3 linked regions of the Callithrix jacchus genome follow. The protein of the gene in region 3 purifies or fractionates together with the protein of the main gene of each other region. This does not show direct contact. Links are inferred from orthologs where the notes say so. Each region holds a gene or a part of one and is shown on either strand. Other genes may lie near its edges.

Evidence for each region.
Region 1: the proteins of TCEAL1 (region 3) and KDM3A purify together in Homo sapiens (affinity purification with mass spectrometry; 3 studies listed by BioGRID and IntAct, counting the BioPlex papers as one, with this or other methods). This does not show direct contact. The link is inferred for Callithrix jacchus from reciprocal best matches to the Homo sapiens genes TCEAL1 and KDM3A.
Region 2: the proteins of TCEAL1 (region 3) and USP11 purify together in Homo sapiens (affinity purification with mass spectrometry; 4 studies listed by BioGRID, counting the BioPlex papers as one, with this or other methods). This does not show direct contact. The link is inferred for Callithrix jacchus from reciprocal best matches to the Homo sapiens genes TCEAL1 and USP11.

The regions. Positions count from the first base shown.
Region 1 is NC_133515.1:26,553,790-26,557,541, forward strand, and holds the start of KDM3A (lysine-specific demethylase 3A), read right to left. Parts: upstream 2,769-3,752; 5' UTR 2,703-2,768; exon of another isoform or gene 2,659-2,702; intron 2,137-2,658; 5' UTR 2,107-2,136; coding exon 1,921-2,106; intron 1-1,920. UniProt on the Homo sapiens protein: Histone demethylase that specifically demethylates 'Lys-9' of histone H3, thereby playing a central role in histone code.
Region 2 is NC_133524.1:48,203,870-48,206,594, reverse strand, and holds part of USP11 (ubiquitin carboxyl-terminal hydrolase 11), read right to left. Parts: intron 2,443-2,725; coding exon 2,236-2,442; intron 1,048-2,235; coding exon 995-1,047; intron 794-994; coding exon 551-793; intron 461-550; coding exon 390-460; intron 111-389; coding exon 1-110.
Region 3 is NC_133524.1:99,680,174-99,683,925, forward strand, and holds TCEAL1 (transcription elongation factor A protein-like 1), read left to right. Parts: upstream 1-1,578; 5' UTR 1,579-1,667; intron 1,668-2,104; 5' UTR 2,105-2,182; exon of another isoform or gene 2,183-2,185; intron 2,186-2,337; exon of another isoform or gene 2,338-2,419; intron 2,420-2,497; 5' UTR 2,498-2,529; coding exon 2,530-3,009; 3' UTR 3,010-3,570; downstream 3,571-3,752.

The sequences.
Region 1 (3,752 bases), on a different chromosome or scaffold from region 3:
AGATATCACCACCTCCTCAAAGGATGGGGGTGGAGGGAGAAGACTTAAAAAATTTATACATAGACAGTTCCTTCTAGATTGCTTGCCTAACCTAACAGGTTCTCAATCACCGCCAGAGAAGGGCAGGGAACGCCTAGTCTCTCAACATCTGCCAAAGAACTGAAGACTGGAAAGTTTAAATAAGATCTTGTTTCCATTCAAATCACATAAAAACAAATGCACTAGAGAAAATTTTACTTGGCAGGTGAAATAAACCACAACAAGCATAACTGAAATCTAGTAGACAAAGCCTATCTTATGTAGAAAGGTTATAAGCCCCAAGCAAAAAGGTTGCCATTCTTGCACCACAATATATTCTCTCTATAAATATCACAACCTGATTTGGCAGGAGAATGAGTGGAATGGAGGGAAAAAAACCAAACCTCACAGCATGACAGGAACTCTGTTGTGGCACAGCTCTTGATTACTGGCTGGCTGATTAAGAGGGCAGCTTCTGTAGTGAAACTTCCAGGGTTAGACAAAACACAGGCTATCAGGCTATGTCAATTCCTAGGTATGTGTCCTTGGCAAGATGTTTAAGGTCCCTCAGGCACAGTAGTTTCATCCATAAACCTGGGGGCAATATTAGTACCTACCCCCAAGAACTCCTACAAGGATTAAACGAGATCATGGTTGTGAAGTGCTTGGCACACAGTTAAATGCTCTTTGGTCACTCCTCCTTTTCAACATGAGACAAGGCACAACATTGAAGCATTAATACATAACAGCATACCCTTTCCCCACAACTCTGCAGATAAATACCGGTTTGGGCATGCACGGTCACCCTGAATGTGTTCAAATGAACAGTGTTTTAGAAATCAACATATCAACTGCCAGTGCTAAAACTTGCTTCCTTTATTTGACCATAGTTTAAGAAAAAGCAAAGATGATGGTCAAGTGAAGATACTGAAACACATCCATTATGCAGGGTGGAAATATCTTCTGACAAGCTTCCTTCAAGTTATCACCACTTTGGAGTCTTTCTTAGGAACCTTTCTTCAGTTATTTTTGCACAAAGGAGTCTTTGTTGGTACAATGGCTTCCTCACTAGTTGTTCCCAGACAATCCTTTCACACCAATACTTCTATTAGGGAGCACAATCAGAATTCATCTATCTATGAAAAGATCTAACAGAAAAAGGTTCTGAGTGTCATTATGATTAAAAAAAAATTCACTGACCATACTTGTTTCCAATTTTCTTCCTCCTCCAAAGCGTCCAAGCATAGTATTTCTAAGTCAGTCCTCCAATATCCCATATATGGGACTGCTCCACCCCATTCCTCCATATATGGTCATATCCCACACCCACCGACAAGCTCATCACAGAAAACCAGGAACCCACTCCTGCCCTGACCCACCATATACGGACAAATACCCACCCTAAACGCCAAACATTACTTAAGCTCCTCCCTCTACGCTAACTTCATTTTTAACAAGGCAAAGTTTTTTGTAAAAGTTGAGTGAATAAATTAAGAGGAGCAAACAAACAAAACTATCTGAAAACACTTCCAAGCACTAACCCTCAATTCTTAATGCCTCCAAACGTCACCTACAGGTCCAACCCAACGCTAACAGAAATACCCCTCCTCCTCTGGAGAAAAGATCAGACAGTCGTAGTGGGACACAGCACCGGCATTAATGAAGCGTGTCTGAACAACCCTAAGCCCATTATTAAAGCCAGGCAGCCAAAAGCTGTGGGCCAAACACACCCCGGCTCTACACAACCATCCCAAAGACTTTCAAGGTCTAGCTTCCTGCACCTTCAGATCAGATGCCAAGTTTCTGGTCTCCGTTTTCAGAAAACGGAGGGAGGGGGCCGATGGTCGCGTTACCAAGGTAACTATGAAACGTCCGGCGGCTGAGGCCCGGAGCCGGCTGTACCTTCAGATCCTTCTTGGTAACGTCGGTGTGGGAGACAGCGCGAATGGTCCCGGAGAGCCAGGGCCACTCGGCGACGCGCTCCACGTCCCAGCTGTCGTGGCCGTCGTCGCTGCCGTCGGCTGCGGACAGACTAAGAAATCGCTTCCCCACCAATACCGGCCAACTTTCTCCGAGCGTGAGCACCATGGTTTCCACGCCTGCAGGAAGGGCTCCTCCCTGCAAAAACACAAAAACAAAATGCGACGGGGGCGGCCGGTGGGAGGGGGCCGGGCGGAGACGGCGGGCGGAGGGCGCTGAACCCGCGCGAGGACGCGGCCAGCCCCGGGCGTACCCGCACCGAGCCCCTATCCTGCGCCCTCCCGCCCCCCGGCGCCCTCCCCGCCGCACCCCGGGACCCAGCGCCGCGTGACCCTCGCTCTCTCAAGTTTCGCTTTTCCAACACCTCAAACGCAAACGCAGAGAGAGTGAAGGAAGAATTATCTGCGGCTCGAGCGGATTTGAAAGTGTTCAGCCCTCATCCCCAAAAAGAAAAGGCCCCGGTGCAGATGGCCGGTCCCGGGCGGCCCGGTCCCCGCCCCGGGCGGCCCCGCGAGGAAGGGTGGGCGAGCCCGCGATTCCGCACTTGCCCCGCCGCGCCGCCCCGGCGCCCAGCTCCCTGGCCCCCAACCCCCGGGCGCCTGTCCCGCGGGCCTGCGCCGCTGCCAACCCGCGACAGGGCCGCGCGCTCAACGCTTTCACCTTCCTTCCCCCTGTCCCCGCAGCCGAGGCCGCGGCGCTCTTACCCCGCCTCCCGCCTCCCTGAGTCACCAGCAGCAGCCGTCGTTCCCAACCGCCTCGCCGACTCCAGCGCTGACTTGGTTCAAGAGCTCTCACAAGACACGCACAGCCTCCCGGACCCGCCCCCTCGGAACCGCTTCCGCCGCTCATTGGCTGAGACACAGGAGCTGGGCGAGGCTCCAGGGAAAACAGACTATCACCATTGGTCAGCCTGGCGGGGGCGGGGCCAGAGAAAAAAACAATTCCTTGGCTGCCTCCTCCCTCTCCCCACCCCCTTCCGACTCCCGGTCGACCCCCATTAGGTTAAAGTACACAGAGAATAAGCGAGAGATCCCTCCGCCACAGGCCCATTCTTTCCATTTGTTGCCTCACAGTATGCAAAAAAAAAGTCCTGCGAAATCGGTTATCAACTTTGGGGCCCGAAGGAAAATTGCCGTGGCGCACAGATAAGGATGAATGGAGACACCCTGAGCTGTAAGTGCCTATTGGATTGTTCGTCAAGTGCGTAGGCTGTCGACCGAAGATGAGCCCTCCACTTGGCGGAAGAATCTCACAGGAAAGGGTGAGGGCGGTGCAGAGTCAGCGGGGGAGGGAAGGGAAGAGAACGTGCGGTTTCAGGCGTACTCAGCTAGAGGGAGGAGCGACAGTGCTCTGGAGGCTCGTGCGCAGGCGCTTCGCCGAGCTTGGGCTGCTGGGCGAAATGGCCGCGAGAGGCGCAGGCGCACGTGGTGCTAATAATGGAACTTCTAAAGGCCGCCATTTTGAAGGATAAATGAAGAAAGGCATGGAATCACTGGATAATGACGTTCATTAAATCTGGAGCAAAAGAGACCTTTATGTACAATGTATAGTGGGACTTTTCTTTTTCTCTTAAAAAAAAATTGAGAAGGTATTCTGAGGCTTACAAGGAAATTGAAAGTAGGTGAAGGCCATAATGAATGGTGTAAGAGATGAAAGAGCAGGTGACTTTGAAGGACAAAGGAGTTAAGAGGTGATTGTGTGCTCTGAACCTGAAGTATTTTGATTGAATGAAAAAGAAATGGAAACACGAAATT
Region 2 (2,725 bases), about 51 Mb from region 3:
GGGTTTTCCTTCTCCAGGGTCTCCACAGTGGTGAAGAGCTCAATGCACTCTTGCAGCCGCACGGGAGCCTTCTTCATCACGTACCCGACGCAGTCATGCTTCACGTAGCCCTAAGGTTGGGTGAGCAGATGGCCAGGTGGCCGGGTGTGAAGATGGGTAGAGGGGAGTGGGGGCCCAGAGGTGGGAGACACATGCCAAGTGGGTCAGAGCACCAACTTTGAAGCTAGGAACCTCAGGCCCTGGAGCTCTCAGTGGGTGTTCAGGCCCCAAGGCCAGGCTTGAGCTGGAGCTCTTGGCTCTGTTCCTGGCTGGAGCAATTGTGGGGAGGACGTACAAATTGTTGAGGGGCAAGAGCTGAAAGTGCCCCCCATCCCTGGGATCTTGTTTACCTCAGCCTCCGCCTCGTCATAGTAACGCTTCTTCATCTCCGGCTCCCAGTCGATAGCAATATATGGCTGGGCTGGGGGGTGAGGGAAGAGGTGGTCATGGATGCTGCCAGGAAATCTCCCCTCTGGTGTCCCCAGCCCTGGCTAACAGCCAAAGGAGATACCATGGACTTCTTCAGGGGAGGTTGTGCGGTCGCTGGTCCCATTAGAGTTCACCGTCTGCAGGGTGAACAGCTGCTTGCGCCGTCGCCTTGGGGGCCACTGAGATGTGCCAAGGCAGTTGTCCAGAAGGAATGGGCACCTGTTGGTGACTCCAGAGCTAGGCCCAGGCTGCTCTGGCTCAGGCTCTCGGAGGCTGCCCCCAGTTGAGGGCCCAGGGACATCATCTTTATCTTCCTCATCATCTTCTAGGACAAGAGGATGTCAGAGATGGGAAGGTGTGAGCCTCAAGTGCTAAGCTGCCATCACACCTAGATGAACCCTGTGTGGGTCAGACCTCTCCCAGACCCCCCGCCCACTGACTGTCAGCCCCTCGCCCCAACTCAGGCCATGGCACGACTTGTACAGACCCTCATCCTTGTCGACCCTCTCTCCCACCTTTCCCTCACCTTTCTCATCCCCATCATCTTCATCATCTGAGCTGGGTTTGGTCACATAGCGTCTGCAACAGAGCAGAGGAGATTCCCAAGACAGGGGTACAAGGACAGTGGTAAATTAGGGCCCAGGATTTTACTTAGCTGAAAGTAGGAGGTGACTGGTACACCCAAACATAAACTGTTCTGAGACCGGGCGCGGTGGCTCAAGCCTGTAATCCCAGCACTTTGGGAGGCCAAGGCAGGTGGATCACGAGGTCAAGAGATTGAGACCATCCCGGTCAACATGGTGAAATCCTGTCTCTACTAAAAATACAAAAAATTAGCTGGGCATGGTGGCGCGTGCCTATAATCCCAGCTACTCAGGAGGCTGAGGCAGGAGAATTGCCTGAACCCAGGAGGTGGAGGTTGCGGTGAGCCGAGATCGTGCCATTGCACTCCAGCCTGGATACGAGCAAAACTCCATCTCAAAAAAAAAAAAAACGTTCTGAATCTGACGTGTGAGAGTGATGAGGAGGTGATACATTTATGTATGAAGAGGCCAACACTGTCAGCAGTGGTCTGACAATGAAGGAACTTGGGTGCCTGTCAAGAGGTGTGGAGTGTGATTAGCCGGGCGTGGTGGTGGGCGCCTGTAAGCATAGCTATTTGGGAGGCGGAGGTAGGAGAATTGCTTGAACCTGGGAGATGGAGGTTGCAGTGAGCCAAGATCGCACCACTGCATCTCCCAGGTTAATCACACTCCACCATCAAGACTCTGTCTCCAAAAAAAAAAAGTGTGGGGTTTGGACTTTTTAGTCTAATAAGCTGCTGCTAGACAGACACATGCTGGCCTGGCTGTAACTTCCTATCAGGGAAGGGCTCTGAGAAGTGACTTGAGTGCAAGATGAGGGAGGAGAATCCTGGTAACACAATGCTTTGTGTGCCATGGTAAAGATTCTGGATTTTAGGCACAATGAAAATTTGTCAGCAAAAAGACAAAAAACCGAGATTCTCCCAAGAGAGACAACTGAAGACAAGACGAAGCTGTCTGTTTTGTGCATCTTGTTCACCTCTGTGTCACTAGCACCCAAGAGAGGCATTAGCAAGGCCAGAGGTCTAGAGAAAGAAAAACCACCCTACAAGTTCTTCTATGGCCACATTAAATTTGGACTGTCTTTTGCTTGTTGCAGGGGAGGTGTCAAATAAGCAGCTAAACACCCAAGTTGGAGTTCAGACCCCACCACCCCTGCCGCCCCTGGGAAGAGGACACTTACGAGAGCCGGTACATCAGGACGTTATACAGGCCCTCCCAGGTAAACCGGTCCCGGGGCACCGACACCAGGAGGGGGTGCCCAAAAAGCATCAGGCCATAGTAAGAGTTGTTGTAGTCACGGGCAGGGGTGCGCTCCCGCAGGTAGACAGGAACCACGATGTCCTCTCTTGAGCCCTCGATAGCCTCAATCCGACCTGACACCTCATAGCTGTGGAGGGTGGATGGCAGGCATACATGATCAGGGCCCCCTGAGACTCCCTGACTCTGCCCTCGCTGACCCACCCACTCACAGCCTGAAGGTATTTTTATTTATTTATTTATTTATTTATTTATTTATTTATTTTGAGATGGAGTTTTGCTCTGTCACCCAGGCTGAAGTGCAGTGGCGTGATCTCGGCTCACTGCAAACCCTGCCTCTCGGGTTCAAGCAATTCTCTTGTCTCAGCCTCCCAAGTAGCTGGGATTACAGGCGCATGCCACCATGCCCGACT
Region 3 (3,752 bases):
AAAAAACTGAATGAAATGGGACTTCTCTAGGAAAGAAACTATTCAAATGAGAAACCAACCCTTGATAAAAAAAATAATAAGAAGGCATAGTGATACTTGGTTTAAAGACACATATCACAGACAAATTTGAAAATAAAAGTTATAAAAAATGATGTGAAGGTAAACTAATATTTGTCTAGCTGCTATCTCAGCACGAAGTTAATTAGATGTTGGAGAAAAGCAACAAACAGTTCTTAAAAAGGGAAATTTCACATGAATTTCTGTTCAGAAACTTAGTAAACAGTCTGGCTTTAAAACAAAATCCCAGGATCCTTGCAGATCAGATGGCCACCTACCCTGAAAGTGTAAAACACAGAGGGAAGGGAAGTAGTGTGCCCTGTGGAGGAAAGAGCATCTGCATAAGAAAGTAGCATCCAGCTTGATGTGAGTAGGTGAGAGGCAGGCATCAAGTTAAAGATCATAAAATAGCGTTGGATCCAAAAAATACATATTTCAATGACAACTGAATATCCTAGCATGATTGTAGTCCTGCTTCTCAGTATGTGGTCAACAGAATTATTGCATAGTTTAATATGGAATGCCCTCCCAGCAGCATCTAACTTTTGGGGTCCAGCAGTCCCAGAACTCAAATATTTGTTGATTTAATGAATTATTATAAAATTCCTCAACCAGAAGAACCAAGAGGTGGCTGGTTAAGGATTGAGAGTCTCAGTAAAATCTATTTCTTCTACTATGAATAACTACTGAATAATTTATATATATGTACATACATATATATATTTAATGTGTAATATATTCAGTGTGTATGCATACATATATATATATATATATGCGTGTGTATAGATATACACAGATAGAACAATGCCAGGCTCTCCACCAAGAACTATCCCATTTCAGATAATAAATAAGTTTTCTGGACTATTTGTACTTAGATGGACAAATGCATATTTGATTTATGAAAATCAAAGTATTCATTCTTTTTAGATGTACATACTTTACAACCTTAACTCTCTCTGAAAGTCTAGAACTTAATGATTACCAATGTAGGTCTGGGGGCTCAAAAACCAAAATGTGATGTCAAGAAAAAGTGAAAGATTCTCTCCCATGAAAGTCACAAGAGATGAAAACATGCTGAATGAGCCTAAATGGACATGATGGAGTTATGGATGTGGATTAAAACTGAGAGTGTTGGAATATAAGGATATAATATTGATTTATGAAGGTGAACAGTCAAATGTTAGTGCAGGATCTGAACTGAAGGGGAAATAAGGGTCCTTGGTGGCTGAGGAAGGGAGGAGGGTAGAAAGAGGTGGTACTAGGGGAAGCAGCACACAGGAAGAGGCAATATCACCCGAGACTAGATGCTGACCATCTCTGGCAACCAGGAAAAGGCAAATACAAAGAGAGATGTGTGACAATGCCTGGTATGTCTGGGGTCAGGGGACACTAGCAGGCACTAGCAGGTGGCTGCAACAGGGCCGCAGGTTAAAGTGGTAACTGGGTATCTGAGTTCGGCAGTGACGCGCGTCCCTCACGTGACCAGGAGCCTATGTCTGCCCAAGTCCCTCTCGTCCTGGTCTTTTTTGCCTGTCCACCATCTCCCTATTACCCTTTGGTCGAGAGGGAAAGCAGAAGAAAGTAAGTTCCCTCCACCCTCTTAAATCGATGTGAGTGTCGGCGCTGCCTAGTAACCCTGGGAAGGGGGTTGACAGAATCGGGATGGCGGAGTCCAGGCCTTTCCCTATGCTCCAGCCTCTCGCCCCCCGCGCCCACATTTCTGTGCAAAAAATGGTGGTGGAGGAGGGGTGGGGAGGTGAGTGCCGCCCCGCCCCCCCGGGAGGGAGGTACAGACACTTGGAAATAGTTTCTAAGAATGCTTCGTTTCCACTTTCCCAACTGAAAAGAAATGGCAAGCTTTGCGGGGTGGGGAGGTGGGGGCACGGAGTACGAAGCTTGATGCAGGGTCTGAGGCGAGAGGAGAACCTGAAGGGGGGGTGCAGGCAGTGGCTGGTGCCCAGAAAGTCGAGGGTGGGGGGTGTCAGTCAGTCCGTCCGTCCCTCCTCCCCACTCCCCGCCCCCTACCCTGTCTTGCGTCTGTGTGCAGGTCTGCTGGTCACAGCGAGGCACCTCGAGGAGAGGACGGCTAGGAGCATACGACCCGGAAAGGTTCAGGTCAGGAAAGGTGGTACGCAGTGGACTGGGACTGGGGCGCGAGGGTGGACGCCGAAAGGCAGGGAGTCTGCAGGCCGCACTGTCCCGCCCCTGTCACTGCGGGCGAGGCCTGTAGCAAAGCCTGCTGGGAAAATGGTGGGTTTTCGGGAAGGAGGGGGCGACCGGGAAGCTGTGGAGTCGGGAGAGCCGGAGAACCACCGGGAAAGCGCTAGGTTGAGGACCTGGGCCCCGAATCAGGATAAGGCAGGTATTGGAACCAACGGCCTGGGTGTTAGTCCAGCCGCTTAGTATTCTGACTCTTATTCTGCCTTTCTTGTCTCCTAAGAATAACTGTGCTTGAAGAAGAATATTCCCAACATGGACAAACCACGCCAAGAAAATGAAGAAGAGCCGCAGAGCGCGCCGAAGACCAATGAGGAGAGGCCTCCGGTGGAGCACTCTCCCGAAAAGCAGTCTCCCGAGGAGCAGTCTTCGGAGGAGCAGTCCTCGGAGGAGGAGTTCTTTCCTGAGGAGTTCCTGCCTGAGCTCCTGCCTGAGATGCTCCTTTCGGAGGAGCGCCCTCCGCAGGAGCCTCTTTCCAGGAAGGACCTGTTTGAGGGGCGCCCTCCCATGGAGCAGCCTCCTTGTGGTGTAGGAAAACATAAGCTAGAAGAAGGAAGCTTTAAAGAAAGGTTGGCTCGTTCTCGCCCGCAATTTAGAGGGGACATACATGGCAGAAATTTAACCAATGAGGAGATGATACAGGCTGCAGATGAGCTAGAAGAGATGAAAAGAGTAAGGAACAAACTGATGATAATGCACTGGAAGGCAAAACGCAGCCGTCCTTATCCTATTTAATGTGTTAGGCCTTTAATTCTGTTTTGCCTGCTAATAGTATTGCCATTGCCACCTGGACTTTCTGTTTGCATTTTCTTCATGTCTATTCCCCTATTCTGAATTTTAACTTTTTGCGAGGCTTTATTTTAGATGTTTAGTTTGTAACTAGCTTAAAGTTGGGGTTTCCCCCCTAAAATCTGCAAGTTTCCCCTTTCAATCATGAGGTCTACACATTTGCATGAAAGATGTACATTATATATTGTGAAATGAAAAAAGCAATTTTCAAATGGTATGGATTGTACTCCATTTTTGTAAAAAATGTATATATATTAATATGCAAAGAAAAAACTAAAAGTATATACTTCAAAGGCATAACAGTGGTTATCTGTGTGATAATAGGTGATTTTAAAAATTTTTTGCTTTATCTGAATTTCTCATTTTTTCAAGACAAACACGTTTTGCTTGTGTTGCAAAAAACATATAATGAAAAAATATCATGCAATTTTGAAGAAGACTGTCAATCAGCTTATAAAGACAATGTGGCACTTAATAAATACTTGTCAGAACTTAAAAAACATAAAAGTGAATCCTATGTTTTTTGTGATCTCTTAGGCACAAATACAAACCACATATTGATTATATTTAATAGATTTTTTTCTCTTTTAAATAAGAATAATACCTGCTTTACAGTGCTACTGTGGGACCAGATGAGAAAAAGATTGTGTGAGCTGTGTTTGAGGTTTTTATTCTACCAGCAGAGGCAG